Linked DNA regions of Danio rerio. The protein of the gene in region 2 interacts with the protein of the main gene of each other region in a pairwise test. Links are inferred from orthologs where the notes say so. Each region holds a gene or a part of one and is shown on either strand. Other genes may lie near its edges.

Evidence for each region. The genes of interacting proteins can lie anywhere in the genome.
Region 1: the proteins of usp19 (region 2) and siah2l interact in a two-hybrid assay, tested with the Homo sapiens proteins (2 studies listed by BioGRID). The link is inferred for Danio rerio from reciprocal best matches to the Homo sapiens genes USP19 and SIAH2.

Annotation. Positions count from the first base shown.
Region 1 is NC_133196.1:42,020,536-42,024,292, forward strand, and holds the start of siah2l (E3 ubiquitin-protein ligase Siah2), read right to left. Parts: upstream 2,505-3,757; 5' UTR 2,360-2,504; coding exon 1,919-2,359; exon of another isoform or gene 1,917-1,918; intron 1-1,916. UniProt on the Homo sapiens protein: E3 ubiquitin-protein ligase that mediates ubiquitination and subsequent proteasomal degradation of target proteins.
Region 2 is NC_133198.1:23,074,964-23,078,620, forward strand, and holds part of usp19 (ubiquitin carboxyl-terminal hydrolase 19), read right to left. Parts: intron 506-3,657; coding exon 374-505; intron 1-373. UniProt on the Homo sapiens protein: Deubiquitinating enzyme that regulates the degradation of various proteins by removing ubiquitin moieties, thereby preventing their proteasomal degradation. Stabilizes RNF123, which promotes CDKN1B degradation and contributes to cell proliferation.

The sequences.
Region 1 (3,757 bases), on a different chromosome or scaffold from region 2:
ACAAACACACATACATTTTAATGCTGCTATAGCTGACCATTGAAGAACAGACAAAGCCCTTTTAAAAACAAGCAGCAGATGCAGCTTTACTTTCACCACAAACGTTGAAGGCTACTTTCCTTCGCTGACGGCTGGTATCACTTTAGAAACTGCTCTACATCAAGTACCAGTCGCCACGTCCTGATTACAGCCACTGTAAGGAGGAAACATTAGCCCAGGGAACAAGAGTAGTGATCAACTTTCACAGGCCAGCGATAACAGAGGATACAACTTTAATGCACTGATGATGCAATAAAAGGGTTTCAGGTCAATCACAATAAAAAGAAAACTTTCAAAACTGTGGAGAGCTAGAACTAATCTAGGGTGAATTCAGATTCAACAAAAAGTTATTCTGGTAGTGGGTATACTAAACAAGATTTCTAACATCTGAACCAAATCAATGGTTTCAGTAACTGGGCTGCTAAAATGTGAGATTTCGAAAATCAAGTCATGTTTGTTTCTTGTCAGATTTCTAGATTCAGAATTAGATGTGTAATTGTGAATGAATGAGGTTAATTCAAGGGATAGTGCAACCCAAAAAAACAAAAAATTCTGCTATCATTTAATGACCCTTGACTTCCAAACCTGTTTTTTGTTCTTCTGTTGATAACTTTTGGAAACTAGTAACCATTGAAATTCATAGAAGGAAAATGTGATATTATGGAAGTCAATGATTTACAACAGTCTTCAAAATATCTTCTTTTGTGTTCAACAGAACAACAAAACTCAAACTGAGTAAATGATGGCAGAATTTTCATTTTCGGGTGAACTGTCCGTGTCAGTTTCATACTAAACAACTGCAGAGATTTGGTGAAAATTCAGTAAAAAAGCCACTTGTGATCCAGCGTAATTTGCAATTTAGCCAATAGACTGAATAAATCACAAAAGAAAAGTATTACTTGAAATTGAGATGTTAGTGTGACAAAGAAAAATTATTTCATATGTGATTGCATTAATGCACAAACGAGTTTGAGTTTATGCAATTAAATCAAGCTTTCTGTATTTTTATTTTAAGCATGATTATTATTACACATCAACTGTCACACAACATGTGGTAAGTTCAGCATTCTATTATAAAATAATTAAGGAAGTAACAACAAACTCGAAAACAAAAATAATTTGATTCACAAAATTAAGAAAATGGATAAAAAGATTTAAAAGGTTTAAATATGTGTGATAAATTGCATAGCCATTTCTAACAAATAGTATTTACTAATACGACAAGTCAACTGAGAGAAAATGTAGTTGCTGTCCTTAATTCAACTTTGACAGTCAATTTAGCTTGCATTATATTAAATGGACTGATATCTACAATATACAGCACTTCAAGTAGATCAAAAGTTTTTTATAGTATAATTAATAACATAAAAATAAAATAAAAAAACAAAAGTATCATAAAATTGGACTAGTTTTCATGATTAAGCCATGTCAGTCTCAATTTTTAGACATGTGCCCTCAACATCAACCATCTAAATTACAAAATGTTTGTTCTCAAACAGGTCTCCCCGATACACAACGCCTCCTTAGCCAGCCATTGGTTGGATACAGTCAAAGCCCCGCCTCCTAACTGATGCCATTGGTTGAAGCAATATTGAAGCCACTAAATTACTAAAGTCTCTCAATTTCGGTTATTTCATCCAACTAAAAACTCAATTTAACTACCTAAGTGACCGACTATAATATTCAACCAATGAAAAAACACACTTCAGCAGCATAAACAAAAACACTGATCTGATATGATAGCCAATGCACCTGTGGCATCTCGAGTTTTAGTTACACTTCCTAAACTCATGCGTGCCATCATGCAGTGCTGACTGAAACAATACTGCAGGCGACTTTGCATTGGTTATTATGACAGTCGTGAACGCGCAATTCTTACCTTACACGGAAACGGCAGAGTAGATGCAACTTTTTCCATTGCCAAGTTCCGTATGCTCGGCGTGAGAGGGCCGCGACAGGTCGGGCAGCAGCTGAGCTTTTGCCGACACTGGTTACACACCAGATGCCCAGCCTGGCACTGCAGGATCGGCGGCAGCACATAGTCGAAACACACCGGGCACTCAAACAGCGCTGTCAGCTCGGGGGACTGTCCCGGAAGAGCCGCGACTGGAAGCGCTACAGCTGCTGCGGGAACCGTACCAGAACCCGCGACGGAGCCGGACACCCCCGCGGCGGCTGCAGCTGCTGCGGCGGCCGCGGCAGCAGCGGCGGCGGCGGCAGCAGAGGCAGTTGTTCCTCCAGAACCTCCATGCTTACTTCCTCCTGCTTTTCCAGCTCCGAGTCCTCCGGCCGCTCCACCCGCAGAGGACGGACGGCTCATGGCGAGGAGTGTCGGTCGATGTTTGATGGTGTAAAACCCCGAGTAGCTGAAGCCCGAGAGCCTCACCGTCCACTCCCGACTGAACACGGACTCGGTTCCGAGTAGCCTCCTCCAATCCCCCGCGGATACAACATGGCCGCCATAGTTTGAGAGCGAGTAATGAGACTATTGGGTGAAGGAAGTTTGATTGACACTCTCCTCAGCCAATCAGAGAGTAGCTCCTGCGGTTTATGTAAGAGTTGCCGGAATATGTAGTAATTGCGTGAGTGGCTGTAGTGAAGTAAACAGCAAACATTTGCGCGGTGGTTCTTTCACACGATGTTTCACTGCTTTATGTAATCAGTAGACTGTCGTGTTGGAAAGAAACAATGAGAAAGAATCAATAACAGAACCAGTGAACATTCTGGAAACATTTTCGTTGTTAATGAAAGAAGTATCTTCTCATCACAGAGGCTGCAAGTCAAAGTCAACTTTATTGTCAATTCAAGCACATGTGCAGGACATACATTCGTTCATTCGCTTAGTCCCACAGGGGAATGAACCGCCAGCTTATCCATCAGCTTATCCAGCATATGTTTTATGCAGCAAATGCCTTTCCAGCTGCAACCCATCACTGGAAACATCCATTCACACACATACACCACGGACAAGTCACCTATTCCACATGTCTTTGGACTTGTGGGGGAAACGGAGCACCCGCAGGAAACCCACACAAACTCCACATGGAAACGCCAACTGACCCAGCCGGGGCTCGAACCACCGACCATCTTGCGGTGCTACACACTACGCCACTATGCTGCCCTTACAGGACATACATTGAAAATTGTGTTACTCTCAGACCCTAGGTGACTAACAGATATTATTGATACAAAAAGTTACATTTTAAAATAGAAATTACAATAAATACAATTAATGTTACACATATAAAATAATGTAAAGATATACGTGAAAATTAAGATTTGTAAACAATTCAATTAAGGGCACATGATAAGGAGTGCAAACCAGGAGTTGTGCAGATGCAAAACAGTATATAGTGCAAAAATATGATATATGATAAAGTGACACTGTCTTAATATTAAGGAGGTAGCATGAGGTAACTACAGAGGTAGTATGAGGTGTTATTCGTTTAGAAATGCAAAAAAACAGTAAATATTATTTAATTTTAAAGAGGTATTTTAGTGAATTAAAGATTTTTAAGCACTGTTACTCCACTTATTTTTATAAAGCTTATTTACAATTAATGTTCATGCTCAGTCAATAATAATAGTTTTCATTATGCTAAATGTTGAACGCATCCTTTCTGCTTTATGTTTTTGTAGAAACCAAGTTTCATTTTACTTTCCAGGATTCTTTGAAGAACAGAAATTATAAATAATTGATCAATTAAACACAATGGAA
Region 2 (3,657 bases):
TATGAGGACGATGGCATCGTCCATCGCGATGTTTCACATTAGACACCGTACGATGCCAAATTGGTCAACATCGCCCAACCCGATTACGGGTTTCTTTTTTCAGTTGAAAACTACAAAAGATATTTTGAAGAAAGCTAAAAACCTGCAGATACTGCCTTCTATAGCAAGGGGAAAAAAACTATGGATGTCAATAGTTGTGTTTACTAAAAAAAAAAAGTCAAACAGGTTTGAAACAAGTAAAGGGTGAGTAAATTAAGACAGAATTTTCAGTCTTAGGTGAAATATCCCTTTATTTATTCTATTTAAATCTGGTCCAAACATTTGATTAATGATAAAGCCAAAAAAGAGGGACCCAAACACACAATGCCCTTACCTGGCAGCCGGATGTGGCAGGCGGAATTTGAAAAGTCATACTCGATATCTTCTACTCTCAGCACCCCAGCACCTCCACAGTTCAGCCTCACTATCACCTCGTATGCATTCTGCTTCCAGTCCAGAAACAAGTCTACACAGAGAAAAGAACATACACAGTGATTACACTGGTCTCAAACACAGTGAGAAACTAATACCAATGAATACAATTAGCTGTGTTTTTCTATGATTTTACAACAAACCTGATTTCATGATAACACCACAAAATCCCTCAGCCGATCATAGCAGAAAGCCAAGCTGCTTTCGATTTCAAATTTCTCTGCTACTGAATTAAACGCAGGTGCATGTTAGAGATCAGGAAAGACCGAGAAAGAAAGAGTGTGTGTTTATCTCGAAGGATCGAGCTGCAGGGTCAAGTGACAGCTAGTCCCGTCACTTTACTCTCTCTCACTGTGACACGCAGATCTAAAAGGTCACCACCAAATTGCAACGCCCCACAGCTGGGCTTTTATTTCACATGATGTCATCTCCTCTCCGCCAGTATCCCATGAGGCTTCTTTGCAGGATGGGGAATCAGCACTACATAGATAGACTCCTACTGTTCGTGCAGGGGTGGTCCACTGCTCTTGCAGAGATGAAATGCAACACTTCGACGAGAAGAAGACAATGGCGTGTTCGTATCGAATGTATGTGGAGAGGCCAATGAGGGCATCGTGTAAATAAAAAGGAGCATAAGTGAAGTCTTCTCATGCATGTGCTGGGTAGAACCACTCCACTGACCTTGACAAAGCCCTTCTTCATTGAAGCTGAGACTCACAGGCTTAGATTACAGCACTTCAGCACTGCAGAAGCAAACAAGCTCAGCAGACCGGACACAGCCTTAGAAACAGGCTGGCACATCGACGCTAAACAAACAATACGCTCATGAACATTTGCCAAACCAACAGTTGCATCAGCTATTGCCAACTGAAAGCTGTTTCTGATGAGGTGAATGTAGGCTTTAGAATGGTTTTCTCTGAAAGGAATGTTGAAGTCAGTGTTAAATGGTGTTTTGAAAAACTGTTAAGACCCAAAATGTAATTTCATGTTCTGTAAAATTTTATTTTATGGTTATGTATTGTGCTAATTGTCTCAGATTGTTGGTACTAAGAAAATAACAATGTGACATATAAACTAAAACAAAAAGACATCAAGTAAATGAACAGGGTTTTTTTCAGCAGCAGTAGGTTTGACATTTTAGAATTTCCTACAGCAAATAAACGAAATGTAAAAATAAATGTGTAATAAATAGGGATGCTCCGATCAATCAGCAAGAGATTGGTATCGACCGATATTTACATTTCATTACGTGATTGGTAATCTGGCCGATCTCATGAACCGATCAAAAGTGTTGGTTTATGAGTTTACAAGCAGAGGACATATTAGACGTTAAATCTTTTTACATACAAGAACTGAAAGTACAGTGTTTTGAACAATATTGCAAGTTCATTAAAAGTTAGCTGGAAATATTAGAAAAAATAAAAAAACTAATTATTTTTAACTCGATAATTTTTTATACAACTTATTATAATAAACGTTTAAATGTAAGTGTATCGGCCGTTCATCCATAACAAGGAATTGCTACTCTTTATCAGCTGCAAAAAATTCTGATCAGAGCATTCCTAGTAAAAACACTAATTATGACCTAATTTTTAATAAAAATGCAAACGCAAAGTCTGATCTTCCCTTAGTCTTCTGTTTTGTCTTCTATTACAGTATTTGATTAACATTATTAACACAGACAAGCTTATTATATACTGTGATTTTGCGGCCAAATGCACAGATCCAATAAATTTGAGACATTTTTATGTGATAATTTATGTGATGGGCATTTGACAATCATATATTAATTTCACCATATAAAAATATAAATTAGACACACAAAAATAAGATTTTTTCACACACACACACACACACACACGCACACGCACACAAACACGCACACGCACACACACACACACGCACACACACACACACACGCACGCACACACACACGCACACACACACACACACACACAATATCTTGACTTGCAATTGCATGTGTACAAGGTGTGGTTTTCTGTGCATTTGCTTCAAGTTTAGTATGTCAGCGGGTGAGCTTTTTTCCACAGCTTATATTTAACATCATATGCATATCTAACTCATGAGTGTACGCTGTCTACAAAGTGGCTTCCTGAACATTTGCTTTAGGAGTGTGTCAGTCAGAATAGAACGCTTTTTTCACTTTGTGACACAAGTTTATGTCACTTACAAACCCAATTTAATGCCATATAAACTGCTCTTTATTTTCTTATTCTCACTCCTTCCATTATTCAAAAGTAAGTGGTGTGTAAATAATTTGTAAGTGCAACGGAGACCAAACAATTGACCACATACGTTGGATGTAGGGCTGTGCGATTAATTGAAATCAAATCACAATTTGAAACGCTGCAATTAGCTAATCACTAGAGGCTGTGATATGAAATATATATGTATATTATTTCATTTCTCCCTCCCAGAGAAAATGCGTGACTGCTGCCATCAGTGTGTCATAGTCTTACTAGCCAATTGAGTGAGCACACTTTCGTTCTACCCAATCAGAAGTGCGGAGCAACCACAATAAAAAAAACAAAAAAACAAATGCAGACAAAAAATGCGGACAAGTGGAATGATGGTGTTTGCCGCTTCAGAAGCTTTAATAGACGAATATCAAACAAAAACAGGACATCGGTAATATGGAAATATTTAGATTTTAAAGTCACAGACACCAAACAAAAACAGGTCATTTGTAGGAGCTGTCATAGAATTGTTGCCACAGCACGAGGAAATACAACAACCAGCAACTAAAAAAGCACCACAGGCTTTGAGGTGATATGAGGAGTGTCTTGCTGAAAAGTCAACTGAAAGTAATGCCAGTGACACTTATCGCTTGACAGTGTATAATAAGCTATACTATCTCCCTAATTTAAGTTCAACTTGTTTATAGAACGATAAGGTTATTTTATTCGTGTTTACAGCTTACTCTTTCTGAATACTTGAAAAAAAAATTGGAATAAATATTTAAGTAAGTTAATATCTTTTCAGTTCCTTTTTTTGATGAACACTGCATTTTAGCAGTAAGAAACTATGATACAGATTATTGAGCTGAAGCTTGACAACAAAATTAAATCACAAATCTAATCAAAATCACAATATCTGACAAAAAATATATATAAATATATAAATAAATTATATATTTTCCCCAAATCTCACAGCCCTAGTTGGATG